Diceros bicornis minor: one gene and its partners. The main gene of each other region encodes a partner of the protein of the gene in region 2 in a complex. Links are inferred from orthologs where the notes say so. Each region holds a gene or a part of one and is shown on either strand. Other genes may lie near its edges.

Region 1 (7,548 bases), on a different chromosome or scaffold from region 2:
CAGTTCCCGGGAAAAGGCCAGTTCCCACCACACAGAAAGCAGCTTTTATATTTCTTTTTGTGCTGGTGGCTGTAGGTCAATGGAGCGGCCAAACATGGCTGTACTCATGTCAAGACAATTATGCCTCTCTTAACTCAGCTTGGGGATTCAAAACACAATAGTCGTTGGAATACTCAAGATGATTCCCATTTCTGGTTCCAACTTCTTCATCAAGCACTACACCTTGACATCCATTTCTACTATACCTCTCTACCTAAGTAGGCAACTCATGTTCAGCATAACCAAACTGCACTCATCTTCTCCACAAACTGTTCACCTTAACCCTAGAAATATCCTGGCCTGTCCTCTATCTGCTCTTGCTCCAACAGGATTTAGCCTTGAAGGCAAGATCTAGACTTGCTGTCAGTTTTCATCACTAAATGATTTCCCTTCCAATTATCCACTCTGCCTTTTCAAAATATTTCCTACTTTTACCTATGTTCTTTACTCAGGAAACTGATTTTGCTCTATTTCTTTGCTCCCCAGCCCAGGATTTCTTTATGGATTCACTCATCTTCCTGTTTTCTTCCAATCTGTGAAAGAATGACTCTCCTCCCCTGAGATGGTCCTTCTCCCACTCTTACATCCTAGTCCTTGACCCCTTCCTAGGAGCTCAAGAGAGAGTCAATTATTCCTCTCTTTATTTTGAATCTCTCTTCTACTACTCCTTTCCTTTCCACTTATATTCTCCTTATCCTAAAAAAAAAAAAAAAAAAAAAAAATTAAAATTCTTTTAGCTCAGTCCCTTCTTTTGCCTTCCTTTCAATGCCAAGTTCCTCAGAGTAGCCTCTATCTGGGGCTTGTTCTTTCTCACTACTGCTCTATGGCTTGCTTCCACTCCTACCACTGTAATGAAACTGCACTCTAAAAGGTAACTAATGATCACCTAGTTGCCAAATCCAAACACTTTTTCTCCATCCTCAGCCTCCTTGACTTTTTTGCAGCATTTGTACTGTTAGGGGGCATGTGGTTAAGCAGCCCCAAGAGTTAAAATACCATGATTCAAAGTTTGTGTCTGTAAATTACAAGCTGTGCTTTGACGCAGGTTTTAAAAAATCTCTACGTGCTTCCATTCAATCACCTATAAAAAGATGGTAACAACACTATAGGTTTCATAAGGTTGTTGAGTGGATTAATTTTGATAATGTAGGTAAGGCATGGTACAGTACCTATCTCATTCTAGGTGTTCAATAAGCGTTTGATATCCTCTTTGAACCCACTTTCTCACCTTTTTTGGTACCCTTCTTCCTAAGCTGACATTAAACCATGTTCTCCTAGTCACATCCGCTTCTATGTATAACTCTTGCACATTTCAGCTGGATGACTCTGGGCATGTCTTTAAGCCTGATAAATGGGTATAACCGTACTGCCTATTCATAGGGTTGTTAAAAAGACTGAAATGATGCATGGAGGAAGTTTAGCACAACACATGGCATAGAGACAACATTTGCTTTCCTGATTAAAGAGACAGAGGCAACATCTCTAGTTCAGCTCTTTTCCTTCTTCTCATCTTAAATCCGAATTTTGATATCTGGTGTAAGGCATTCATATTGCAACTAAGAGGGAAAAGCCAAGAGAACTGCAGAGATGACTATCTGACATCATTGAACGAACACCAGCAGCCACTTACCTCCAGACTTCTCATATTTATTTTTGTTTAAGCCATTGTGAACTGGGTTAAACTACCTGATCTTCTATTACTTGTAGCAAAAATATCCCTAATGATACAGTCCCAATTGATGCTTAACAGCTTTAGCTAACATTCTTTCTCCTATCCTTGTAGGCAATTTACACAGACAAACCTATAGTATCTACAGTTATCTCAAATTTAACTGTGTCTATTTTAATCTTTCTGCTACAAATAATCTCTATTTAGCTCTTTGAGGCAGTTTTGTTAGATGCAGCACTCAAAGGTCTCAGATAACCATCATTCAGCTGTCTGTGGTATATTATGTCAATATCATCTTGTTAACTAAAGACAGTAGGTTTGTCCTACATGTAGAATATACCAAAATTTTTCTCTATCTATTCCACAAAGAAGCCACTTAATAGATTGAAACGATAACAGGTTATGGAGTTGGCCAGGTGGAGATAGATTCTAGTTTCACCACTTCCTAAAATGTACCATTTTTGATCCTCAGTTTCTTTTTTAGTAAAAGGATACAAAAAAATGGATAGTATTCCCTCAAAGGGTTATTATGAAGAGTTAAGGTTAATGCTGTTAAGTGCCTAGCACAGTGCTTAGTGGGGGACACAAAGAAGACCATCATGAATGGGAGCTCTTTTATTGCTTTAATTATATAGTAGGCAATGAGTAAATATTATTGCCCTAATCCCTTCCACTGAGCATATAACAGTATGCACTTCATTAAGGAAGACTAAAGTTAAAATTTGCCTGTAGGAAGCTTTTGCAGATTAATCTCAACTATTCTGACCACACCGTTTCTGAGTCCCCATTAACATTTGTATAGTCACGTGTTTTTTCAAAATTGTTTTCAGGTAAGTGGTTTCCACTTCAAATTAGTCACTCCAACAACACGGTAATTACTCAAAAACATTTTTTAGAAGTCCTCTTTAAGGAAGAGTTTGCAGAACATACACCTCCTGTGTCATAGATATTAGTGACTAAGTGAATGCTGGTTTTTTTGGGGAAGGACACATGAGGAACTCTAGGCCTAATGGTAGCTAATGGTTAAAGTTATGTAACTTCCTTAAATGTGTTTTCCACATGCATTGAGAATATTATGTGTGTGTGTGTGTATTTTCCTTAATAGTGACAAATTATCATTTTTATTACAAAATTTGTTTTTTTAATGGAAATTTATTTTACAGTTTTTTTTTTTTTTTTTTTGGTGAGGAAGATCAGCCCTGAGCTAACATCTGCCAATCCTCCTCTTTTGTTTTGCTGAGGAAGCCTGGTCCTGGGCTGACATCCATGCTCATCTTCCTCTACTTTACATGGGATGCCACCACAGCATGGCTTGGCAAGTGGTGCGTCAGTGCGTGCCCGGGATCCGAACCAGCGAACCCCGGGCCCCCGCAGCGGAGCACGTGCACTTAACTGCTTGTGCCACCAGGCCAGCCCCAAAATTTGTTTTTTTGAGAAAGCCAAAAGTCATTTCAAGCTACTACTGATGAATAAAGTGGCTTAAAATTATGCCGGCTGATTTTATTGGGAAGGGGAGAGGAGGACAAAATAACAACAATCAAACAAACAAAATACAACAAAAACAGAAGTGAGATTTAAATATTAAGAAATATTTTTTTCTGGGCCGGCCTGGTGGCGCAAGCGGTTAAGTGCGCACACTCGGCTGCGGTGGCCCGGGGTTCGCCAGTTTGGATCCCAGGCCCGCAACGAGGCACTGCTGTCAGGCCATGCTGTGGCGGCGTCCGATATAAAGTGGAGGAAGATGGGCATGGATGTTAGGCCAGGGCCAGTTTTCCTCAGCAAAAAAAAGAGGAGGATTGGCAGATGTTAGCTCAGGGGCCCATCTTCCTCACAAAAAAAAAAATATATATATATTTTTTCTTTTATGATCTATAAACTGGCTCTGAAGGTAATTCTAAAATGTTTTGGGGCTAACAGCCTCCAAGGGTGCCTACTTTGAAAGACAAAATTCATGTATGTGTAAATTTGATTTAAAAAATTAGGTTCCTTCTTTATTAACAAGTAGGGTAAAGATTATTTCATTTTATATACATTATTTCCTGTCCTCAAAACAAGGAAAGTAGAAACACAAAGAAAGGTCTGGCAGGAAGATCTTTTTTTTAGTGCTTGAGCCAATCTTCCAGCATTGCATATTTCAAATAGGTGTTTTCCCCACATTTTTGACAAATGTATTTTTTGTTTGTTTTGTTTTTTGTGAGGAAGATCAGCCCTGAGCTAACATCTGCCAATCCTCCTCTTTTTGCTGAGGAAGACTGGCCCTGGGCTAACATCCGTGCCCATCTTCCTCCACTTTATATGGGACGCCGCTACAGCATGGCCTGACAAGCGGTGTGTCGTGCACACTCAGGGATCGGAACCGGGTTGCAGCGGAGCGCGCGCACTTAACCTCTTGCGCTACGGGGCGGCCCCTGACAAATGTATTTTGACAAATACATTGATGGAATGTCTCCTTCACCACGACCCAGTCTGGATAAATTCTGAGGTAAACATCATTCAACGGTTTAATGAAACAATACTCTTAATTTTGTGGTACAATCAGATATTTTCTTTGCTGTGGTATCCTATTTCTTGACCTCCTAAATTGATTTCACGTCCCGCTAATGGGTCGCGTCCCAGAGTTTGAAACAACCTTTTGAAACAGCCGGTCGCGCCTGCAGGATCCAGGGTTAGCTTTCCTCCAACCCATCCTTTCTCGGACTAGGCAGCTTCCGGGCTTTGGTAACCTAGCAACCAGGCAGTGCAGGCAGATACTTCCGGAACCCCAGGCCGGGAGTTGTCCAATCGGCTCCGCGGACTCGCCGCAGGGGCTGATGGGGCTGATCGCCGCCGGCGTCTGCACCATGGTGACGGGCGGCGGTGGGACCGCGGCGACCATGGAGGCTTGGTCCACCTCTTCCCCCGCGGCTGTGACTGCGCTCCTCGTGTTGGTCCTCCCTCGCCTCTCACAGGCCCAGACCTTCTCCTTACCTTTCCGGCAGCCGGAGACGTGCGGCCACAACCAGTACTTCGATATCTCCGCGCTCTCCTGTGTCTCGTGTGGAGCCAACCAGAGGCAGGACTCCCGAGGTGAGACGGTTTGGGGTGGGCTCTGGAAAGTAACATTGCCGCCCTGGCGCTGCTCCCAGACCCCGGCGTCGCTGGAACACCGTTTCATCTGCGGGAAGAATGTTTCAGGAAAGGTAACCGCCGGCGCCTGAGAGAAGGGTTCCCTTTGAGGATTGCAGCTTGCACGGTGATGAGGTTGGGGAATCCCGAGCCCGCAACCCTGTGAGCCGTCGCCAGTCCCCCATTCCTCGTCCGAGGGGTCTTTAGAGAGGCACCTGGAAAGCTGCCCCCCGAAGGTAGAAAAGAAATGGAGGAGTAACCTGAGGTGCAGAGGAGCGGGAGACAGGACAGGTTGGGAAGGGAATGCAAATTAGCGCGTGTGAACTTGAATAGCCCGTCATCTTGCTTTTCAAATCCCAGGAACTGAGAGCTGGAAGAGACCTTAACCATGATCAGGTCCAGTCATCTCATTTTACAGATTAGGAAATTGAAGCCCAGATGATGTTGTAATGTCTTCTGTGTCGCCTAAATTAGGACTGGGGGACTCTGGAAGTGTCTCTCTGCTCTCAGTCTCCAACTTTGTATTTCCACTCTATAGTGTGTCCTTAACATTATAGATTTCCTTAGGACTTATCCCTTTTATTGTTGAATATTTCTAATTGCTCTTAAAGTCTCTTTAGATTAAGCTTATTTTTTTTTCTTGGTACGTCCATCATTTGATCCTAGTTCTCCTCCCTGCACTGCTCAGAATAAGACTTTTCCCGTATTCTAAAGTCTAAGATGTTTTTAATCTTGATTTAGTCACCCGTGGTATTAACTTTCTGCCATCTTCAAATGTGATATATCCTCATGCAATTCATTGTATAGGACAGGTCAGGCTCGGCAGCTGAGAAAATATGAATGAGAAAGCATTATGAACCCAGATATCATGTGCGTTCTATTACATAGATTCCTGTGGGTGCTGTTTCCACTTAATGCCTCCTTAGAAAATGCCGTCCTTACCTACCCAGCAAGTTGAATAGTGATTATCTTATAATGTTTACTGTCTGTCCAAACAGAGGAAAACTGATTTTTACTCTAATCAAGGTAACTTTCCTAATACGGTTTTGTTCTGACAAAGTAAATTTGAATTCATTGAATATATGTGTATGATTGGGTGAAATAGAAAGGTAAAATTTCCCATAGCAATAAATCAATAGTTTATTAGTTTAATCCAGTAATTTAATAGTCTAGTTATTATGGTAGCAAGCACAATGCCTACTGTGTGCCAGATGTATTCTAAGACCTTTACATACTGACATGTCACTAATACATATGCATACATAACTAATACTCATCCTAACCCTGTGAGGTAGGTACTGTTGTCCTCATTTTGCCAAAGTGGAAGCCCAGGCACAGAGAAATTGAGTACCTTGTTCAAGGTTATGCAACCAAGTAGCAGAATCAAGATTAGAACCCAAGGAGTATGTTTCTGCATTTGAACCAAGGCAGTACTGGCTCCAGAGTCTTGCTCTTAACTACTATGCTGCTTTTCAAGATCTTAAGAATTATTACAAGTTTCCCTATCTTGGAGTTTTATTTTTATTTACCAAGGTCAAAGTTGGCTCTTTTCTTTTTAGGAACTTCATGTGTGTGTCTACCAGGATTTCAGATGATCTCTAATAATGGAGGACCTGATATTATTTGTAAAAAGTGCCCAGAAAACATGGTATGGAGTATTTATTTTTAAATAATTTTACTGTAAAAAGTAAATTAAATGTCTTTATTTTTTAAACTATGACTAGATGCTGTACTCTAATATTTTCCCACAAACTTTACAATTATTAAGCTGACTTTGTTTTTGTTTGAATAGATTTTGGGAGATAAGTGAAATTTTATGCAAACTTAGAAAAAACAGAAATGTATTGCTTTGGTTTTTAAAATCTGGAATCCAGAAAACCAAAAAGCTTTGAAAATTTGTGTCTATTTTTCCTCTTAGAGTAACTCAGTTATAAAGAAAAGTAGATGAGTGAATTTAATTATGAACATATTCAGTCTTTTCAACCAAAATTTAAAATAATTTGTGGCATTGTTTTGTTATTGCCATTGTTCTCCGTTAATTTTGGTTACATCCATGTTTGTACTATAATTACTGTATTTTCCCCAGGTTTTTCCTAAACAATATAATATAATAAGCCCATTTTGAATGATGTCATATTTTATCAAAAACCTTTATTAATACAAGCTATTAATGGATGGGAGGAAATATCCTCATAATTTAATTTTAACAACTTTATTTACATATAATTTATATACCATAAAATTCACCCATTTTGAATCATAACAATTTTTAAAAGCTAATGTATTTGAATTTTTAAAAATTAGAATAATTATTTTAGAACAAATAAGACTAACCTATTAATTGGCTATCTATTGATAAAATCTTGTTGAATTTTGTTGTTTTATCTTTATAAATGGAAAAACTCAATGACAATATTAATTATGAAAGTAAGGACTCATTTGAACTGAAAATCATGAAGAAGAAAGAATTATTGGCCAGAGTTAATAGTCGTCAGTACATAGTCATAATGTATAGCTCCATTTGGAAATATAAGTACAAATTGGCTATCCAGGAAATTTTTATGTGGCTCATATGTTTATGATTTATTTGAATATTAACTACAAATTATACACTATTGTGGCTTTTTGAACTTATATAATCAGTTAAGGAGAAAATAATTTTTTTTTTTTAAATTTAGAAAGGTGTTACTCAAGATGGCTGGAACTGCATTTCCTGCCCTAGTGGTTTAACTACA
Region 2 (7,738 bases):
TATCTTTTGGTTTGCTGTTGAGGTCTGTACTTCCACTGTCTTCTCATTTCTTGTATCTCATGATTTCAAACTATTCTCAAACCAAGAGCTCAGGTAGGAAGGAAGCAAAGCATTTATTGAGAAAGACTGTAGATAACAAGGCCATAAATTACTTATAGGCACTGGCCTAGAATGAAGGGGTAAAAAACTAAGAAAAAGGAGCTTTGGTTTTGTGTCTTACAAAAATTACCCAGTATGAAAGGATTAACGGTTCTGGGCACCAAAAAAAAAAAAGAGGTAGTCTTGGCTTTGTAGATTTAAAATCGGAATTCACACACACCAGAAGCAGGGGGAACATGGGCAATGCTCTCAAGGGAGCAGTTTCTGGTTACCGAGATAAGAGGCTAACACAGCGGTCCAACCGGGGAGCCAACCACTTGTGGTGGATGAACAAGTGAAAAGAACGAATGAACGAAACCTAACGCTATATCCCTGTTTTCATGATTATTTTACATTTTCATGATTATTTCTTAGACTCAAGTAACCAGAAGAATAGGATAGAGAGGAATATACAAATGTAAAGAAAAAAATTTAAGACAGGGACTGCTAACCTAAAGTAAACCAAACAAGTTAATTTTTTATTTGGAATAAAAAATCCTTTGTTTCCATTTTTGGAAATGAAACACACGCACATGGAACACCAGAAGTACACTGGGTACACAATGAAAAGTAAGCATACCTCAACACTGGCCTCTCATCCAGTCACCCTTCCCAAGAGGCATTATAATCTCAAATAATAAAAATGGGCAACATGTCATGATTAGTGAGGAGCTACTGAAAGAAATGTCTCCTACTCCAGTTCTATTTTTAAAATCAATTTAAAAGACCTAAGCATTTAAAGAATCAAAGTGTTCAACCATATTTGTTAGAAAAACAGACTTCCACTCCCATAACAAATATTTTCATCTCATTTACCTCATTATTTAGAAACGTATCTCCATGTTTTAACATTTGAATTGGCACTTCTCGATTTCTCAGTTTCAGGCATTCTCTATTGACTTCCCACAAGGAAAGATGAAGATTTAGTTTTCTTCCCCTCACCTCCCACCAGCCCCCACCACCCACACCCACACACACACACCCTTCCCATTCTTTTGGTTAGTCAATACTCAGTGTTCATATAATTATGACTACGTAAATACCATTCACAACTCTGATTACTTTTCCTTTCTCACTGTTCCTTACTTTTTCTTTCTCTGGAGTTACTGTTTTATTTGCTTGCTTAGTTTTCCATGTACTTACACAATTTCAACCAACAGCTTCCATTCCAATTCAAAATCTTACTCACTGCAATATTCTAATAGTGAAAAAGTAAAAGCAAATCAAATATCCACCAATGGGGAAGTGGTTAAATCCATCATGGTTTTTCTATATTATGAAATACTTTGCAGACCTTAAAAAGAATAAGGTTAATTAACAAGTATTGATTCATGTACCAAACTAAGCCTTTAATTTTATGCCTTTCTGTATACCTGTAACTTTTTCATATTTTACAATGAGCATGCATTTTTATAATCAGAAAAAAAATATAAGAAAACGTAAAGTAACCAGAAAAAAAGTAATCTGAATCATATTTTGTTTGTAGTTATTCATATAACAATAAGGTTTAAAACTTTTTTTCATTTCATTTAGCTGCTAGAAAAAAGTCTGAATTTTTGTTTTCAGCTGCACAAGTCTGGCTTGTAGGCCAATCAGCTCAGAGATGTGTAAAGAGATTCAACTTTGGAAGAAGGAAAACCAGAATTTTCATACTTCCAAAGCAAAACGTTTTCAGAAAATGTGCGGAAAGGGGTGATTGTCAAGGAAGCACTCACTTATCCTGAACCAAAGACTAAATTACAAATAGTAAAATGCTTCATTTTCATCCCAGACAGCTGCAGGATGGAGCAGCATCTAAAGGTACAAGCTCAGGGACTAGGCCAGCCCGACTTTCTGGGGAGGTCGCTGAACCAATCACCGCCTTGGCTTCCATGTGTCAAGTCTTCATAAAAACGCCTACCCTTTGCGTTCCCACCGTGGTGCGATGCACAACTGCAGCGACATGATGGGGTTACAACAGGAACACTGCTCGGCCTTCATGACCCACGAACTTTCCCGACCACCCTTCCATGAGGCCAGGCCCGGAAAGGACGGGGCCAGCGACAGGCTGTCCCCAGGCTTCTGCACTCTGTCAGGACGCAGACGCTGACAGCAGTGGCTAACCTTCTTGGGGTTGGAGACGGCTTGGAGAAGTCGAATGAAACGAGAAATTTACCTCTCAGTAAATTAAACCAGTAAAAGAGGCCAGTAAATAGGCTTAGGCCAATGAGCCTGTGCACACAACCTCCATGGGTTCGCGAACCCTTAAGATCCACGCTGGGCTCCCCGGGGGCTCAGGCCGGGCAGCTCGCTACCTCCCTCCCACCGCCACCACCGCCCAGTCCCCGGGGTGGGGGGGCTAGAAAAGGGCAGGAATCACGCACCGAAACGAGCGGGACGCGCAGGTGATCCCCCTGCAGCCGGTTGAAGGCGGGGAACGTGCTCCACGCGAGAAAGCCGCCGCGCTCGGATCCTAGCAGGGCTACGAGCAGCACCTGGTGCTGGAAGCGCACGGTCGGCTGCTCCTCGTAGCTGCTCCGCTTCAGCCAGAACCCTGAGGTAAAGAAGGCGGGAGGGCGGTAGGGAGGAAGTCAGGAAGGCCGGCCGGGGCGCCGCGGGCCGCAGGGGCTGTGCTGCGCACCGGCCGGGGGCAGGCTCACCGTGGCTCCGGAAGGCCACCAGCAGCGGCGGGATGTACGTGAGCACGGCGGCCAGCAGCAGGAACACCGCGGCCTTGGAGCAGAGCCCCGCGCGGTAGCCGCGCTCGGCCGGGTGAGAGTAGAGCTCGTAGAGCGCCATGAGCTCCGCGCGGACTAGCGCCGCACGCCCGGGACCCCTCCGCGGTTCGAGAGGAACGACTAAGTTTGGCTTCTCCTAGTTGCCATAGCTGTGGTCTCCACGGCAACCGACGGCGCAGGGAAAGGAACCAATAGCAAGGAAGCGGGGCCACCGTAGGGGCGGGGCTGACGGGGGCGATGCGGGCTGGTGGACGCTCGACCCGCTTTACGCGTTGCGTGCGTTTCTCCAAAGGCTGGGTGGAGGTAGAATGTTTGCGTGCACCAAAATCATAGCCACCGCCCGTGTTAACACTTGTGTAAAAGAAGATTTTCATAAAAGTTGCCTTACAGTAAATAGCTGCTTGTATGTTATCTGTTAATCCACAATGTGGTTCATACTTAAGTCCAGCTAGTCACAGCACACCCTACATGGGAGGAAAACACACAGAACATAAACTGGCCGTGATCCTCCACCTGTTCCTGGGATAAGACAAAAACCAGGTCCCTTTGTCTCCAAAGTTTCGTTGCTTTCACTCTACTCCATAGTAGGACAGACATAGAAACAGGACACAAATCTCGCAGCTCTTCGTGGGATAAAGGATAATTACTACATAGCTCTCTGCTATACTTTGTTACATGTATTGGGTACAAGCCTGGCTACTGGTTTTAGAGGAAGCTATGGTCCTCCCCAAAGATAACATTGGCTTATCACTTAATTGAATGTTTCTAACCCCCAAACCAGTATTTCGAGCATGGCAGAAGGATTTTTTTTTTTTTTAACCATGGTTCACAGCCAAGTTCTTCATCAAAAGGGCTTGAAGGATCACACTGCAGTGCCAAGAGATAGTGTGAAGTTTGTGCTTAGAGTGGAGTCCAGTAGTTGATGCCCCTATTTTGAAGGCAACCTAGAAGTGGCTTTTAGATGAAGAGAACAACTGAGATCCTAACAACACAGACAGAGGGAGGTCAGGATCTGCCCATTTGGGATAACTAGCTAGGGCCCTTACCATAGTCCAAGGTGACAGTGTCATCGGCCATATGATGCTTTTGACATATCTGGTCTAGTCCTACTCATTCTTGCTTTACAGCTTTTCTGGGATGGCAACACAGCTCTTAAATACAGCAATTGTTAGCTTAAAGCTATGTTATGATTCTGACATTATATTCTATCTATGGTTTAGTGGATGACTTTCATTTATTTAAATAACCATTAAAATAAGATTCTAGAATAAATGGTTCTACTATCGCATTGTGAGGGTGGCTCTGAGGAAGGAGGTGTTTCCCTCCACAGGTCCTTCTTTCAGCAGGAAACACACACTGTAGCTAGTGTCACTTGGTCACTGCTGAAACAGGGAGGTGACTGCTAAGAATTTAGGTGTATGTGTTGGGGCCCGGTCTGGTGGCGCCGCAGTTAAGTGCGCGCCCTCTGCTGCAGCGGCCCGGGGTTCGCAGGCTCGGATCCCGGGCGCGCACCAAAGCGCCGCTTGTCAAGCCATGCTGTGGCGGCGGCCCATATAAAGTAGAGGAAGATGGGCACGGATGTTAGCCCAGCGTCAGTCTTCCTCAAGAAAAAAAGGGGAGGATTGGCATCAGATGTTAGCTCAGGGCTAGTCCTCCTCACAAAAAAAAAAACAAAACAAAACAAAAAGAATTTAAGTGTATGAAGTGCTTCAGCCTCCCCTGAGATGCCATGAGCTTTGCAAAAGTATTTAATAATAACAGATACTAAGGGCCAGCCCCATGGCTTAGCGGTTAAGTGCACGTGCTCCGCTGCTGGCGGCCTGGGTTGGGATCCCAGGGGCGCACAGACGCACTGCTTCTCCGGCCATGCTGAGGTGGCGTCCCACATACAGCAACTAGAAGGATGTGCAGCTATGACATACAACTATCTACTGGGGCTTTGGGGGAAAATAAATAAATAAATAAAATCTTAAAAAAAAAAAAAAAACAGATACTAATATTTACTCTGTTTCCATGATTTGAGGAAGCTAGTCTTTGTGTTTTTATTTCAATTCTTTAAGAGAATATTAGATTTTTTTAAATGCTAAAGATCTGTGTATATTGTGTCATTTTCACACATTCATGACTGAGAACTGACTTCTCAGTTTCCATTTCCATAATTTTCTCATGTTTCATACAATTTACCTCCAAGATCAAAGAGAGTTGTTCTCTTAAAACTACACATTTTAATCATGTTTTACCCCTTTCTAGAAGCTCCCATTCAGGGTCTCTTGAATCAGTTTAAAATTCCTGAATTTTTGCTTCAAGGCTTTGCAACATTTTTTTCACATTGGCATTTATCTATATTGCTGAACCTTTGGCTTCCCAGTTCCCCATTCCAACTTCAGCCTTTGTTTCTATCTTTTTTTTTTTTTAGGGAAGATTGGCCCTGTGCTAACATCTGTTGCCAATCTTCCTCTTTTTTCTCTTTTCTCCCCAAAGCCCCAGTACATGGTTGTGTATCATAGTTATAGAGTCGTAGCTCTTCTATATGGGACGCTGCCTCAGCATGGCTTGATGAGTGGTGAGTAGGTCCGCCCCCAGGATCCCAACCAGCAAACCCCGGGGCAGGCCCCCAAAGTGGAATACTCGAACTTAACCCCTATGCCACCAGGCCTGTCCCTGTTTCTATCTTTTAAGGGAAGTTTATCCTTTAGAAAATGTACTTTTCTTTCTGAAACATAAGATTCACATTCTCTGTGAAGTCTTTCTTGGTAAGCCTTGCTTGGCTTTATGTCAGCCCCCATTGCCCTAGCCATCCCTCAGTATCCATGTTCACACACCTCTCCAACATTTGAAATTTATTCTGTGTGTGTTATAAGTCTGTTAATGTGTCATTGCATATATTGATGATCCTATTTCTCCTCCTGACTCACCTCTTCAACTAACCACCCCCTCAAGGAAGGCATCCAGTGTCCTTAGAACATTCAATCAGCTAAATGTAATGACCCAATAGGCGAAGAAGGTGATGCATATCATCAAGGCAGATCAGAGAAGCCAATTAGAATGGTGAACTGGAAAAAGACATCAAGAAAGTAGGTAAAGATAGAAGACAGAAAGACATTGCACATCATTGAAACAGGTGACACGACTATCAATTGGGTGAATGGTGGATCTTTCCCCTGAGAAGTGTACTAAGCTCTTCCAGGCGCAAGGTGGTGTACACATGCCTTGGACTAGGACACAATGACCAGCTCTGTAAAGGGAAGCAGGGATCTTCAGTCCAATTCTAACTCCTCCACTGATTCACAATCAGATGGTGAACAACCATCTTCATCCCTCAGTGTTTAATTCTATTTGCAAAAAAGGTATTTTCATTTTTTCACTCACTCTCTAGCTGATCTCATCCAGTTCAATAGCTTCAGTATTTCTCTTCTGAATCTGAGACTCATAGATCCATTCACCTACTCTACATCTTCACTTGGATATGTCTCTTGAGCATCTCATACTTAATATATCCAAAACCAAACTCTTGATTCTCACTCCTCAAGCTAGCTCCACTCTATTTTAGTAAATGGCAATTCCATCCTTTCAAAAACCCTGACTTGACTTGTCCCTCATACCTCATATCCAATCTATCAGCAAATTTTGTCTGCTCTACCTTCAAAATATATCTAGAACACAACTGCTTCCCACTGCCTCCACAGACACCATCTTGGTTTAAGCCAACATCATCCTTCACCTGGATTATCACAATAGGCTCTTAACTGTTCCCTTTGCTTCCATCCTCAACCCCTTATAGTCTACTGTCTACACAAAAGCTAACCTGATCACTTAAAAAGGAAAGTCATATCATGTCACACCTCTGTTTAAAACCCTCCACTGACTCTCATTTCATTCTAAATAAAATCCAAATTTCTTCACATGGAATTCAAAGCGCCACACAGCTTTGTTCTAGATCTCTTTGATCTCATCTCCTAACACATTCCTCCTTGCTCATTCGCCTCCAGCCACAAGTGGATCCTTCTTATTCCTAGAATATGCCAACCACTTTACCTAATTAGCATTCTATCCCACCATCACTCTAGTCTCCAACCCTGCTTTATTTTCCTGAAACAGCACCTATCGTTACCCGACATATCTATTTTCTGTCTTTTTTTTTTTTGTGAGGAAGATCAGCCCTGAGCTAACATCCATGCCAATCCTCCTCTTTTTGCTGAGGAAGACCGGTCCTGAGCCAACATCTATTGCCAATCCTCCTCCTTCCCCCCCCCCCCCCTTTTTCTCCCCAAAGCCCCAGTAGATAGTTGTATGTCATAGTTGCACATCCTTCCAGCTGCTGTACGTGAGACGCGGCCTCAGCATGGCCGGAGAAGCGGTGCGCTGGTGCGCGCCGGGATCCGAACCCAGGCCGCCAGTAGCGGAGCGTGCGCACCTAACCGCTAAGCCACGGGGCCGGCCCCTATTTTCTGTCTTGTCCAACTAGAATGCAAACTCCATCAGAACATGGGTGTTGTCTGTTCTGTTCACTGCTTTTCCTGAACACCTAGAACAGTGCTCCTATATGCAACAACAATAATTTCTAGGTACAAAATTCAAAGGATTTTTCACTTCATTAAAGACAAACAAGCAAACAAAAACCTATTTTGGTTACTCAGACACACAATCTTAAAATAACAAAGATACCTTTAGAATGAAGCTAGATTCCACAGCATCCATCAGGAATTTCAACTGTAGGAAATGATGAATGACAATGTTCAAACATACAGGTCTTTCAGCTGCATCAGAATCACAAGCACGCGGCAAGGATCATGTGCCCAATTAAGTCAATAGTCTTGTTACATATTTACCATCTCATAAACAGATGATGACCCAGAGCAGACTGCCCTGATGACTCTGCTAGG
Region 3 (7,398 bases), on a different chromosome or scaffold from region 2:
GGAATACTTGTCAGCAATAAAAAGGAATGGACTGAAATAAACTCTTGCATATATGGCCAAATGATTTTTGACAAGGGTTCCAAGACTACACAATGGGGAAAGGACAATCTATTCAACAAATGGTGTTGGGAAAACTGGATATCCACATGCAAAGATGGAAGTTGGATCCTTACCTCACATCATATACAAAAATTAACTCAAAATGGATTAGAGACCTAAACGTAAAGCCTAAAACTATTAAACTCCTAGAAGAAAATATAGGGGGAAAACTTTCAGACATTGGATTTGGCAATGATTTCTTGGATATGAGACCAAAAGCACAGGCAACAACAACAACCAAATAGACAAATGGGGCTAAATCAAACTCAAAAATTTCTGTGTGTCAAAGGAAACAATCAACAGAGTGAAAAGGCAACCTACGGAATGGGAGAAAATAGTTGCAAATCATGTATTTGATAAGGGGTTAATAGCCAGAATACATAAAGAACTTCTACAACTCAACAAGAAAAAACCAAATAACCCAATTAACAAATGGGCAAAGGGCTTGTATAGACACTTCTGCAAAGAAGATATACAAATGGCCAATAAGCATGGCAAAAGATGCTGAACATCACTAATATCAGGGAAATGCAAACCAAAACCACCATGAGATATCACCTTACCCCCATCAGGATGGCCATCACCAAAGAAGAGAAAATTACAAGTGTTGGCGAGAATGTGGAGAACTTGGAACTCTTATATACTGTTGGTGGGAATGTAAATGGTGCAGCCATCATGGAAAACAGTATAGAGTTCCCCAAAAAAATTTAAAATAGAATTACATGGGATCCAGCAATCCCACTTCTGGAATATATCCAAAAGAATTCAAAGCAGGATCTTGAAAAGATATTTGCACATCCATGTTCATAGCAGCATTATTCACAATAGTGAAGAAGTGGAAGCAACCCAAACGTCAATTAACATATGAATGGAAAAAGAAAATGTGATATATATATACATATACACACAATGGAATATTATGCAGCCTTAAAAAAGGAAATCCTGTTACATGCTACAACATGGATGAAAATTGAGGAAATTATGCTAAGTGAAATAAGCCAGTCATGAAAGGACAAATACTGGATGATTCTACTCACATGAAATATCTAAAATAGTCAAAATCATAGAAACAGAAAATAGAAAGGTGGTTACCAAGGGCTGAGGGGAGGGGATGGGAGAATTACTGTTTAGTGGGTATAGAGTTTCAGTGTTGCAAGATGAAAAAGTTCTAGAAATCTGTTGCACAACAATGTGAAAACACTTAACACTACTGATCTGTACACTTAAAAATGATTAAGATGGTAAGTTTAATGTTATGTGTTTTTTACCACAATAATAATAATAATAATAATAATAAAAAGAAATGGACCATTGATACACGCAACATGGATGTATCTCAAAGGCATTAGGCTAAGTGAAAGAAGCCAGGCTCAAAAGGCTGCATACTGTAGGATTCCACTGATGTGACATTCTGGAAAAAGGAGAACTATAGAGACAGAAGATAGATCAGTGTCCTCAGGGTCTGGAGTGGGAGGGGTTGGCTATGTAGAAACTTTTGAGGGTGGTAAAATTGTTCTATAGCTTGATTGTGGTTGTGGTTACATGACTGTATGTGTTTGTTACATACAGTCATAAAACTAGAACTGTACACCAAAAAAACTGTACATTGATGCATGAGAAAACCTGCACACCAAAAACCATATGCAAAATTATACTGTATATAAATTATCCCTCAATAAACCTGATTAAAAAGAAATGTGGAGTAAATATGCAAAATGTGCAGTGGACAGTGGTGTTCTTTTTTGTACCCTTCATTGTGAGTGAAATGTTTCAATCTGAAAATAATAAAAACAAAATTGATTCTTAAAAAGCCAACTGGTTTATTAGAACTGCAGTATGGTCCAATGATAGAATGTTAGTTTCAAGTTGTCTGGTAAACATGGAATTCTTATTTCATTCCTGTCAGTGTATATCTGTGATGGTATTTATTACTTCATTTTCAGAAAAGGTTAAACTTGTAAATTTGAGACTATTCAAGAATGTGTAGACTGCTCAAATAGCCCTTCTGCCCCCATAATGTTTCAGAAAACATTTGAAGAACAAGAAAAGTGCCTGGTGGTTGACCAGGCATATGGGGTTGGGAGGAGGAGAGAAGTTGAGGATTATTTTCTTCTGGGTGCTGATTGAGAAATCAATTACTGGACTGCTCCCTTCAGTCAAAACGATAGAGTCTATCCTTTGACCTCACACAGCCTCGATCTCTCTTCCCCGTAGTGCTAAGCAATTCCTTCATAAAGCTTGATGATTCTGCCTCCCTATTTGTAAAATATTTGGCTCAGATGAATAAAGATGGATGGATATACTTAATCATAGGAAAAAGTGGATACCTAATTTTAGACAGATTAGAAGCCACAACTTTAGCAATAATAAAAACAACAATAATAACCAATTCACCCCAAACCACACCAAACACTAAGACAGAGTGGTTAATGCTGCCTTGTAAAGTCAGCCTCGGCTATTTTTCCACCCAGCTACTCCTGTCTGTGGTTTTTCTGACTCCTCGTATGCGGCAGTTTCCAAGTGCAGAATTCCAAAAAGCTGAATTGTCTTGATTCCTCCCAGTGTTGGCGCAGACTATAAGGAATTGAGAATGCCAATAATCCTAGAAAAACAGATGGACATTTTAAATCACAAACATTTATGCACAAGCCAAATGCTGTGGTTTTGGAGAAAATATGGAAATAGATCTCAGCCCCGCCTCTTGTCCTTCCATCCTAATGAGGGAACCTACCAAGGCCAAGGGAGAAGAGAAAGAATCCCCTGGGTTGAAAGATGAAAAAAGGCTGGCAGAAATGGGTCACCTGTGAAATGAAAAGTTTCAATGTTCCCAAGGATTGCAAAATGGATCTGAGTTGATGCAACCCTCATTTCAACTTTGTAAGATGTCATAAAATTACTTTTGGGCCATCTACCGAGTGTTTGAGATTGGACAAAAAGGGGTGGTGAGATTATTTGCCAAACCATAAAGATGAAGATGTTAGAACCGAAGGGCACTTTATCAAGATTTGGTCCAACAGCCTAAAATTTCAAAACAGAAAACAGGACAAAGTGATTCACTGATATTAAGGAATACAAAAGAAAGTAGAGGCCTGGAAGATAAGAGAAGGTTTAAAAAATCAACAACAATCAGCCCTGGATTTAGAAGTTATGAAAGTTTGGGGAAAAAAAAAAAATATATTTTAAGGGAAGTGTTGTATCAGTTATTAAAAGTGGTCCAAAATTTCAATCAGACACTAAAGCAATCCTTTGGAGAAAAAAAATTTGGAAATATCTGTATTACACATTTGAGTGATCCAATTACACTTTAAAACATTTTCTCTGGAATGCCACAGGAAGATGCTAAAGATGTCACTTTGATGATTTAGCTTTGCTATATAAATTTAATAAATTAGGTATATATACTGTGGAAATGTGTTTCTTGAATAGATACCACGATATGTTCAAGTATTTTAACATCTACTTCTGAATTGTAAGGAGATGAACCGTCAAAGGTATAGCCAACATCCCTGAGTTGGAGTACCTTTATAAATAAGCCAGTTTAGAATGGAAGTGCTTCCCTAAGTCTTGTGGTCTCCGTGTCATTTTGTAGAGTTACAGATTTGCTTTGTTTTTTCTTTTTAAGATGTATAAATCATTCTACTTATTTTTTGTCAATGTTTTTGTGGGTAAAAAAGTTGTGTTCATTTGTCCCGCTTATCACAACACGGTGAACAGAAGTTGTCTGGCGATCTCCTGCGATGCATCTAAAACAAAAAAGGCAAAGCCAGCGTGGACAGGGTGTGGGAGACAGAAAATTCAAGGATGATGATGTGATCTCTGTGCTCCCGCAAAAGACCCTACTTAGTAGCTTTAGGAGAGCGGTTCCCAAATTTCTGTCCCCCGACTGTTGCGTCAAGACATTTGTTAAAAATATCAATTCCTGGACCCTGCTGTAGACTTATTGAATCAGAATCCCCTGAGATGTAATCTGCAAATCCGCACTTTTTAAACAAGCGCCGGAGGCCGCGGGGAAGCACAACACAATTTCACAAGCCGCTCGTCTCCACTGGACTCACACCGCCCCTCGTGTCCAGCCTCTCCCAGGCCCCGCCCCCTCCCGCCTCCCGCCTCCCGCCTCTCCCGCCTCCCGCCTCTCCCGCCTCCCGCCTCTCCCGCCTCCCGCCTCTCCCGCCCGCCTCTCCCAGGCCCCGCCCTCAGCTCCTGCCGTCTCGCGAGGTCTCGAGGGACTCTTCCCGTAATGCCCCGCGCCCGGCTGCCGCGGTTGCTTGGCAACGTCTGGTCCCCCTGGTGCTGGCTGCTCCGGGTTCGGCCAGGGGATGGGGCCGCGGGATCTCCCGCCGCTGTTGCTCGTGCTCCTGGACTGCTGGGCCTCTGGGAGCGCCCAGGCCGGGGCCACCTCCGCGGTGACGACGGAGGGCCTCAACTCTACGGAGGCAGCCCTGATGACTCTCCGACCTGCCTTGTCGCCTAGGCCTCCCGAGACCCCCAGGGCCCCTCGGCCCTCCTCTGGCCCCAGGCCCACCCCGGTTACGGACGGTGGGTACCAAGTGCCAACTCCTGGGGATCCACAGTAATCTAACCTGGAGGGAGGGTAGCCCGAGTGAGGATGTAATAATGATAGTTAACGTTTATTGAACACTTACTGTGTGCAGGCATTGCTAAGTGTTTCATAGGCATTCATTCTCTCAACAACCCTGCGAGGTAGATATTATTATCCCTGGCATACAGATGAGAAAACTGAGGCTCAGAGAGTGTAAGTGGGACAATATCAGATCTTTGAAAGTACTTGCAATGGTCCTGGACAACGTTAATGCTAAAAGTAATAATGAATGAATCCTTGCAGATTTGCAGCAGAAGACAAAATCGAAAGTTTCTAGACAGTTGTGGAAATGAAATGCATAGGATGCATCAGACTTTTCACTTACCAAAAAAAGAGATGCCAGAAGTCTAGCTTACAAAATGTGACTGGGTCAAGGCCCTTGCCTATTGACTTGAATTATGAAAACTCAGGATTCCTCCTGTGTTGAGTTGGAAGGGGAAGCTGTAGGGTAAGGGGTTATGCCCACTTCTTAGGATTCATCTTTAGGGATAATTAACATATTTCTCGGAAGGTGATCTAATCCTGGAGTTACACATTTAGTGAATATTTTATAATCTGATTTGAGATTGATGACTTCAGGAGATGTCTGTCTGTGACCCTGAGATTGAGTGCAAAATTTTGTGAATATGCATTTTTCTGGGGTGAGCGTTCATAGCAATCAGCAGTTTCTCAAAAGGATTTGTGATCTTAAAAATTCTAAGTCCACTGACTGTAACCTCAATAGGTATGCAGTATTTTTTATCCCTTCTTATGAGAAAAAGATCTTTTCTTTTTTTTAAAGATTCTATTTATTTATTTTCCCCCCAAAGCCCCAGTAGATAGTTGTATGTCACAGCTGCACATCCTTCTAGTTGCTGTATGTGGAACACGGCCTCAGCATGGCCGGAGAAGTGGTGCGTCGGTGCGCACCCGGGATCCGAACCCGAGCCCCCAGCAGCGGAGCGTGTGCACTTAACCGCTAAGCCACGGGGCCGGCACTCTTTTCTTAAATTGAGTATGGCTCAATATTAGTAAATAGAAAAGTCATCATTGGCTGACGTCCTGAGCTGTAGGACTTAACTTCAGTTACGGAACCATTATTTCTCCAGAGGGCCTCCTTTATAAATTATGAGTAGTCTGTAAGAAAAAGTACAGAGAAATATATTTTCTGTTTCAATATATGTAAACAAAACTCTGTTTTGTATTTAAACTGTTCATTTGATGAATTAGTAGGGAAGTTAAATCAATGATAAATTGGGACGGAATACGGCAGTGTAGTCAAGGCCCAAAATTCTCTAAGGTTTTTGGACTGTGTTGTCTTTTATCCATGTCAGTATTCATCTGTTAATCCACTTTCTCCCCAGAATGAAGCTATTCTTGAATCATCATTATTAGGGCATGTGTTCAGCGCTTTTTTTCCAGTATAGGGGATGAATTTTCACTTCATCTTTTTAAAGGAGCCCTCCTTAGACCTGTGAAAGTAATGATAATAAACGACAGCTGGCATTTATTAACTGCTTACTGTGTAGCAGGCACTGTGCTAAGCATTTCATCTGTGATGTATCTCATTTAATTCTCATAACAATCCTATGATGTGGGCTATCCCCATTTTTCAGGCAGGTGAATTACCTGCCTGATTTTAGCTCACACTCCTGGTACGTGTTGGAGCAGGAGGCTGGCTCTGCGTGGAGAACTGGACAGCCCTTTGTAGAATGGGTTACAGATGGAAGAGAAGAGTGATAACTTTCGTCTTGCATCAGCTCTGTTTCTGAGTGCCCTGCTCTGTGAGCCGGGCGTGCGGACATTGAAAGGTGTGGCAAAGCAGCTGAGTGCTACTTAGACCCTGCAAGTGCCCAACAGATACTTGTTGGCTGATTAAGTGCACTCGTATCCTGGATAGAGACCTTTTTTTCCCCTAAGTGGAGTTATTAAACACTATTGCTTTGTCCTTAGTAGTCTTATAGCTACCTACAAGGGTTTTAAGTTTGGAAAACAAATCAAGATTATAATTTTAAATGCATAAGACAGGGAGCCCGAACACTCTCTTTATTTTTTACTTTAGTGTGCGTTATTTTACTAAGCACATAGAGGAGTCCTTGGCTAGAGAGAAGCACGTAAACTTTTGTGTCTCAGACTAACAAAAGATTGTGTATTTATTGACAGAACCTTCCCTTCTTACACACTTCTTTCCAGAGTCTGTTATTGTACCTTTTTTGAGCTACATTTTTATTGTGAAATAATTCATACATGCAAATAAGAATCTTGTATGGACTCTCTACCAGCATTTGCTTGAAATCCTTTTTTGAAAAAAGAAAAAAATTACATTGGAGCGCTGATCTTATTCCCTCCAATTACTACCATGAGTTCAGTGTTTATCATTCTCATGCTCTGCTATTTCTTTAAAAGGGTTTCCCGCCCCCCTTTTGACAGAATAAAATAGGGAATTAAAAATCCAGATAGTCATCATCATTAAAAATTAAAAGTGCTAAGTAGGGAGGTTCCTACCCTTCTCCATGCTTTATTGTCTAAATTACCAAAGATATTTCTAGGACCCCAAGTACAGAGCACCTGAGCCGGTTTGATTCTTGGCCAGTAGCCTGTGAATGTGGGCTTAGCCTCAAAGCTGCAGGTGACGTCTGAGGAGAACAAGGTTGAGAACCCTGATTCCTGGCAGCCTTAAGTGGACCCTTCCCCTGAACCAGAGCCTCCAGAGAAGGAGC
Region 4 (7,385 bases), on a different chromosome or scaffold from region 2:
AGCAACGACAAAATTGACGAGTAACAAACAACATTGGAAAATAGTTGAGTCAAAGTAATCCATTACTGATAAAAGCTCAACACACATCTCATGTTTAAGCAAATCAAGTCTAACCATCAGTACAAAAATAAAACAAGGCGATCGTCAGGAAAAATCAGATAGGAGTAATCAGGGTGTTGCAAGTCCTGATCACGCAGAGACGCTAATCACGAATCATGCGCACTCCAATCATCATGTTCTAATCTGTCCCCCAAAAAGGGGGAACAGGTAAGGATTATCCTACCTGACGATAACCAACTTTCGCTAGGGCATTCCGTACTCAGGGAAAAAGATTCCGCTAACAACTACGGTGACTATATAATGCGTTAGCCTGAGCAACCTGTTTATTTAAGCTCCCCCACTTCTGTTGGAACATTTATTTGCAGATCTTTTAAAATAAATTTTTTTTCCATTTGGCTGCCAAAAGGGATAAATTAATTCCTCCCAGAATGCTCCATTCACTCACGAGCTTGGAGTCCTAGTCGTACGCGCCACTTATTTACATATCTCCGCCCACCCCCTTCGCCAGACAGCTACCGTAATAACCAAAATAAAAGCGATACCTATTATCTTACAGTCTCCAAAGCTGGAAAACAGCCTTCCGTTTCTCCAGTTGTTTGGCCATCCCGATTCTCCTTTGAAATTTTTATAAGTCTTGATCTTACTCTAAAATATATTTTATTACAAAGAGCTAAATTAAACTTTGATAAGCCTAGACGCGAGAGATAATTACCTTAACACTACTAACACTGACATCTTCCACCAAATGCAGTTTCAGTGGGAGCGCTGAAGCCTACGCCTGCCTTCTTCCAGGAACGGTGAGTGGTGCCTTGCTCCTCCAGCCTTCATCTCTACGTTCCCATCATGAAGGTGATCAGAAAGGTTTCTTTTTCAGCCCAAAGACGCTGACGAATAATGCCATTTCAGTGACAGCTGGGAGGGCGCTGCGAAAGGCAGGTGGTGGATTCAGGGCCCCTTCCAATAAAAATACCCAAATCCCCAAACCAGAGACCCCACTCCCAAAGCCTAGGTGGGGCGGGACTTGAAAAGACCACAGGATGTTGAGTGGATCTGGTATTTCACATATGGAGTAAAGCGCTGGTGGGGGAAACTTTCAGATTTAGAGTAAACCTTCCACCCCCCCATCTCCAAACATTGGACGCTACTGTACCTGCAGAAGACAAAAATGTACCAGTACGTGGTGCACTCCCAACGCTCGAATATGAAAAAGGATAGGGCCACAGACGCACTACAGTGAGCCCCCATGGCTTGAGAACGCACCAGAGTCAAGGAAAGCCTATGGATCGATAGATACTGATGGGCCAGAAAAGGCCAGTGGTGGGGCTGGCATCTGCACTCAGGTTCACCTCTTGCTTCCTCCTCACATTGCAAAGGTCAGAGCCGGTAGCCCTGCCTTCTGAGTTTTAGGACAGCCACGTGAGCAGAGGCCATAGGTGAGCCTGCACAGCTGAGACCCAGGCTACTCCCACCCCATATCTAAAGGCCAGGCTGGACCTTTCCGGTGAGGTAGGAGTAGGCTCCTCCTCTCCCCCAGGCCACACAGGAATGCTCACAGTGACTTGATACGCTCTGCTGGAACTACCCTCCAGCATCCGGGTCCTCCTGGTCCACAATTCAAGTGTCAAGAGCCTTCCCTGATCCATCTTTCTCACTTCCTCTGTTTCTTCTGAGTTCCCATAATGTTTTATATCTTTACACACTCCCACAGCACAGTGCTTATCGCACTGAATTACAGATGGCTGTGTCTGCCTCTTCCTCAAGGCAGAAAACTGTGTTTTACTCCCATTTTTGGATCTCCCGTGCCTGGTGCATAGCAGGGGCAAATGACTAAAGATTGTATTAAATACTCTCCATTGCCTAAAGAGATCTCTCAACTGGGGAGACTGTCCACTAGGGCAGACACTATTGTGCCAGAAAAGCCTAGTTATGTGGCTGAAGGTAGTTGTGATGGAAACGGACAGTGTGGGAAAGGTGCGCAGGCAGAAAGGATACAGATGAGGCTCTGGGTGCTGTTGAACATGGAAACTCCTGAGAAGAAGCCGGCCAGCTCCACTGCAAAGAGGCCCAGGGTGACAGAGAGCGCTGCCACCAGCCTGCAGAGAGGAAAGGGGTTGGTTCAGGCCTTCTGGACTTCTTCTAAGACCCCTCCACTCCCACCACTGCTTAATTCTGACCACCCCGCCCCAAGTGCTCACTGAATGTCCTGCTTCTCGTACTCCTCGGGAGTGAACGTGAGAGGCAGGCAGGCCTGGATGTTGCTGTCCTGGGGAGCAGGGCAGAGAGGAAGAGAAGTGAAAAAGGGGCGGGCTGCGGGGCAGGCCTGGGGGCAGCGAGGCACGGGAGGACCCGACCAGGTAAGGCCCTGGGAAAGAAGCGGGGTTGGGTTGGGACCACCCCGAGGCGGGAATGGGGGCGGGAGAGGGTGGCCGTGGGTCTTACCCGGGACCAGAATAAGGTGATGACGACCACCAGATGCGCCAGGAGCGTCAGGAACCGAGAGGGCACGAGCCCTGAGATCCGGCCCATGGCCCCCAGGGGCAGAGGCACCGTCTGGAGCAGAAGCCGAGGTCTCAAGGGGCTGGAAGTTTAGGGATGGCCACTCCTGAAGTCTCGCAGGCTAGCAGACAAAAACTCGACGTACGCCCCCTTCCCGCTCGCGCTGGCACCGCCCAGTTGCCTCGGCAACCACGTAAGCGGGCGCCGCGGCCGGATCTCTGAAAATCTCGCGAGAGCAGTAAATTCTCCAGCCGCCGTGGACCTCTTGGAGAGCGTAGGTTTGGGGTCCGCAGCGGGTGGTCCCTGCCGGGTGCCTACCGCGGGCCGGCTCCCATCGCGCAGCCGAGCCGTCTGCACGTGAGAGTGCGCGATGTGGCGCAGCCCCGCACCGCCGAACCTGCCCACGCAGGGCGAGCGAAAGGACACCCGCCCTGCCCTAGCCCACTACACCCCTTCCTCCCCGGATGCCCACGCCAGGAGCGGCCCGGCCGCAGACCCCCGCTACGTTGCCCAGGATGACCCTCCGCGGAAGAGTTGCTCACCAGAGACGATGTCACCGCCCCGCCGGGCTTAGGGCACCGCCATGCCCAAGGCATGGACACTCTCTCCTTTTCTCTCCTCCGCATCCCTTTAGCTTCCCACTGCCCTGGGCCAGAGGAGACGAAGGGAACTAAACGTGGAGAGATGGATGTCCCTAGATGGTCCAGCTATCACTTATTGTCACGCAGCCCCTTGTTCTCCGAGGACCCCGGACCTGAACCTTCCTTGATTCTGATTCCCCCCACCTGACTCCCCAGACAACTGACCTTTGGGCCTCAAAGGGGATCCCTGCAGAACGGAAAGTTCTCGGCCGCGTTTATCGCTCACAGTCACAGGAGTCGCGGGGACCCCCCGTCCACTTAGGAGAAGATCATCTTTCTCCCTACTCTCCATCTCAGTGCTTTTAGGACGGTCTAAAGTACAAGACCAAGGGGCATTTCTGATTTCTTGATTCATTCACTCATTCGTTCATTCATTCAACAGATATTTATTGACCAGCTGGTAAGTGCCAGGCACTGTGCTGGGCTCTTGTTCTTGACAGAAGTCTCTACCTTCGTGGGGTTTATATTCTAGTCAGGGAGATCGACAGCAAACATGCAAACAATACGTCTGCATGGTAATAGGTGCCATAAATAAAATTTTAAAAGGGAAACACTAGAATAATATGATCAAGAAAAAGCTGTTTGAAGTGGGTCATTTGCCCTAAAACTTTGTTTTAGGAAATTTGGTCAAAAGTGAGAGGAAATGCATTTCTCTCTTCCAGGCCCTCAGTGTAATAAATGGATTTCCTTTTTATAAACCAGTGGGTGAAAAAATTCAGAATTCAAAGAGATAGTCAAAAGATGTTTCCTCAAGGTCATGAAAGACAAAGACTGAAGAACTCTTCCAGATTAAGGGAGATTAAGATGTGACAAAGTTGACACGAGAAATTTAATGTGTGATCCTAGTGGATCTTGGATTAGGGAAAAAAAACTTTTACTTTAAAGAATATTAGTAGAACAATTGGCAAAATTTGAATAAGGTCTCTAGCTTAGATAATAGTATTTGTTATCAGTGTTAACTTCCTGATTTTTGATATTCTAATGCCTTTATGGATGAGAACGTCCTTGTTAGAAAATACACACTGAAGTGTTTTGGGGTAAAGGGGCATTATGTCTGCAATTTACTCTCAAATGGTTTAGAAAAAATATATGCGTCTGTAGAGATAGAGAGACAATGATAAAGCAAAGACAATGATGTGCCTTTTCAGTGAATGCACAGGGAAATTCTTTGTATTATTTTTGCTACTTTTCTAGAAATAAAATTATTTTAAAATAAAAAGTGTTAAATGATAAGCCTTTTAAAGTTTTCCTTCCAGGTCTTATACAATATTATCATTGAGACATTAAATTGCTGTATAAAAAGAAGGAATGATTTCTAGGATTGAGTGTCCCTAAATGTTGACCTCCTATATATTAACACTATGTAATAACATGTTCATATAAAACCGCCTCTTTAGAGGGCAGCACAGCTTTTTCCTCACAATGGAGACAATGTGATCACCAAAACTCATAAAATAAAAATTGCAATCATTTAGACTTCTCAGAGGAATTATTTTTATAAAGTGTGAGGTTCAGCAAAGTCTCTTTATTCTCCACTCAAAAAATATTTGATGATAATCAAATATTACCCACACTGGTTTCTCAGCTCTCAGCTGTGTAGGGGAGGTTCTCTCTTTAACTGGACTGTTTCAAAGTTCTGAAAATATTTTCAAACTTCCCCCATCTCAGGAGGGACGGGCAAACCCATCAAGTACGGTGGGCCCAACTGCTTCTCTCCCTTGAGGTGACCCTCGTCTTCATTAATGATGTGACAGTGATGACACTGAAATACAATGAGAGGTGGGCTTCCCGTGCTCTCCAACATGGAAATCACAGCGTAGCAAGCGTGGGGACATTCTTAGTACACAGAGAAGATGCAAGGACTGAAGGGCTCCTCATACTCTTCTTCTCTCTGCCTGTAACTTACATGCCTTTTCTCCTGAGAATGGAAAGCCCAGGTCTTCAGGGCCAAGCTCCCCCAGCGACAGTTTATCAAGTCTAACTGTTCACAGGTGAAGGAAGCACTGTCATAGAGTGCAAGTGAGGAAAGCCCGTGACCTTGCTTTTGCAAGACTTCCCAAGGTCCTTGGAACAAATAGAAGAGAAAGAGTCAGCCATGTGGAGATCTGGGGAAAGAGCATTCCAGGCAGAGAAACAGCAAGTGCAAAGGTCCTTACGTGAGGACAAGCCCAGTGTGTTTGTTGAAAGAACAGGAAGCTAGTGTGTCTGAAGTGTGGTAATGGAAGGGGAAGAAGAGATCGGGGTGAGGTGGGATGGGTAGGCAAGGGTCAGATCATGTTGGGCCTTGCAGCCATGGGCAGGGACATGGTCGGATTTGTATTCTAGAAGATGACTTTGGTTGCAACATGGAGAATAGATTTTAAGCAGAAGGCTAGTAAAGAAGCCATCGAGTTCTCCAGGAAGGACAGGATGAAATCAGGCCAGGATGGAATCAAGAAACAGGAGCAAAGTGGAAGGAATCAAGAGATAGTTAGAAATAGGTGAAGGCAGTATAAATTTATGTTTTTAAAAAAAAGAGATAGAAGATAAGAAGGTCTGGACATGGGGCTGTGGGTGGGCGAGAAAAAGAGAAGGGTCTAGGATAACTGTTAGATTTTGGGCTCCAGCAGCCGGAAGTTTGGGGCATTCTGCTTATAGTAGGCTTCCTGCCTAAGGGACCTACTAGATAGTAAGAACTGGGTAGTCACATTTCACATTGTGAGTTAATAAACAACAGGCATTTAGGTCTGTTCTGTCATTTTCTGTGACCTTGGTTCACCGCAGCCTGCTCTACAGAGACGTCTCACAAAAGTGAGTTTTGGAGCCACCCTGTGGCCATAGGAAGCACTGCCAGTGACCAGGTGTCCCCTAGCGGGCCACTTGCTTCAGGGCTGGAACCCACATGTCCTAACATTTGAACTGGTCATAAAACAACTTAGAAAAAAAAATGTTTATCATGGAAAAATTCAAACATGTAAAAATAAAGAAAATACTATAATGAACCCCTTTGAAGCCTACCATTCTCCTTCAACAATTACCAACACATGGCCAACCTTGTTTCAGCTATACTCCTTCCTCCTAGGCCCACCAGGTTATTTTGAAGCAAATCTCAGACATCACAAAATAGTTCAAATTGTCCAATCTCATACATATTATTTTTTCACTGTTTGTCCCTCCCCGTTCCTTGTTTTCTTGCAATTTATCTGTTGAAGACACTGGGATGTTTTGGGCTGTGTACTAGTTGTGTCGTTTAACATGTTCCCCTGCGACCAGTATTTCCTGTAAACTGGTTGTTAGACCTAGTGGTTGATCAGCCTCATGTTCAATTTTCTGATAAAAATACATCATGGTACTTCTCATTCCATCACATCAGGATGCACATAATGCCTGCTTGTCCCTATTTTTCCGTTGTTAAATCTGAGCAGCAGGTTCAGATGTAGTCAGACTGAGGCAACCATTATAAAGTTCGCCATCAGTTTTTCACCTCCTGGTTTATTGATCATCACCGCCTAGCTCCATTATTTCATGAAAGGTTGAGAACTGGGACGTCCTAATTCTATCATTCCTTCTGCATTTATCACCTGGGCACCTGAGGCCATGCCCTCATCAACTCGTTGTTTACCATGAGATACAGGTCACACAGGAAAGCCTGGATAAATGTGTGGTATTTTTTCCCCATTATCTAACAGTTTTCAGAATGAGTCGGTTCCCTAGCATCCTCCAAAAGTGACTAATTAGTTGTTTTTAGTGTCATTGTGAACTTGGAGATTTTAACATCTTTTGTGTGTTCCAGTCCATTGCAGTTGTGATTCTTTTTAATGCTCAAATCATCTCAGTTTGGGCCAGTGGGAACCTCTTGAAGTTGGCCTCTGAGTTGTTTCTTTTCTTTTCTATGTGAAATTTATACAACATAAAATTAACTTTTGCGAAGTACACAATTCGGTGATATTTAGACACAGATAAGGAAACTGAGGCAAGAGTAACATATTTACCTGCCTGAGGACACATGGGCTGTAACTCATAACACCAGGCTTCAAATCCAGGCTGATTTGAGAATCTGAGCTCTTCACCACCACAATCTCTTACCTCTCACTGGTCCTCATTATAATGTGTAGTCATTTGATTTATTACTTTACTCATTTATTGTGTCTTTCCTACTAGAACACAACAAATAAATGCAACAAATAAATGAAGTTCCTTAAAGTCGGG

The links.
Region 1: TMEM231 (region 2) and TMEM67 share a complex: the UniProt entries of both Homo sapiens proteins name them as parts of the tectonic-like complex. The link is inferred for Diceros bicornis minor from reciprocal best matches to the Homo sapiens genes TMEM231 and TMEM67.
Region 3: TMEM231 (region 2) and TCTN1 share a complex: the UniProt entries of both Homo sapiens proteins name them as parts of the tectonic-like complex. The link is inferred for Diceros bicornis minor from reciprocal best matches to the Homo sapiens genes TMEM231 and TCTN1.
Region 4: TMEM231 (region 2) and TMEM107 share a complex: the UniProt entries of both Homo sapiens proteins name them as parts of the tectonic-like complex. The link is inferred for Diceros bicornis minor from reciprocal best matches to the Homo sapiens genes TMEM231 and TMEM107.

The regions. Positions count from the first base shown.
Region 1 is NC_080760.1:13,097,851-13,105,398, forward strand, and holds the start of TMEM67 (meckelin), read left to right. Parts: upstream 1-4,548; coding exon 4,549-4,774; intron 4,775-4,788; exon of another isoform or gene 4,789-4,887; intron 4,888-6,372; coding exon 6,373-6,461; intron 6,462-7,491; coding exon 7,492-7,548. UniProt on the Homo sapiens protein: Required for ciliary structure and function. Part of the tectonic-like complex which is required for tissue-specific ciliogenesis and may regulate ciliary membrane composition.
Region 2 is NC_080771.1:25,997,460-26,005,197, forward strand, and holds the start of TMEM231 (transmembrane protein 231), read right to left. Parts: upstream 3,019-7,738; 5' UTR 2,917-3,018; coding exon 2,778-2,916; intron 2,672-2,777; coding exon 2,502-2,671; intron 1,337-2,501; coding exon 1,282-1,336; intron 1,038-1,281; coding exon 955-1,037; intron 1-954. UniProt on the Homo sapiens protein: Transmembrane component of the tectonic-like complex, a complex localized at the transition zone of primary cilia and acting as a barrier that prevents diffusion of transmembrane proteins between the cilia and plasma membranes.
Region 3 is NC_080774.1:9,091,821-9,099,218, forward strand, and holds the start of TCTN1 (tectonic-1), read left to right. Parts: upstream 1-4,382; 5' UTR 4,383-4,415; coding exon 4,416-4,635; intron 4,636-7,398. UniProt on the Homo sapiens protein: Component of the tectonic-like complex, a complex localized at the transition zone of primary cilia and acting as a barrier that prevents diffusion of transmembrane proteins between the cilia and plasma membranes.
Region 4 is NC_080757.1:10,232,258-10,239,642, reverse strand, and holds TMEM107 (transmembrane protein 107), read right to left. Parts: upstream 2,757-7,385; 5' UTR 2,587-2,756; coding exon 2,500-2,586; intron 2,324-2,499; coding exon 2,256-2,323; intron 2,154-2,255; coding exon 2,053-2,153; intron 1,308-2,052; coding exon 1,211-1,307; intron 984-1,210; coding exon 914-983; 3' UTR 516-913; downstream 1-515. UniProt on the Homo sapiens protein: Plays a role in cilia formation and embryonic patterning. Requires for normal Sonic hedgehog (Shh) signaling in the neural tube and acts in combination with GLI2 and GLI3 to pattern ventral and intermediate neuronal cell types.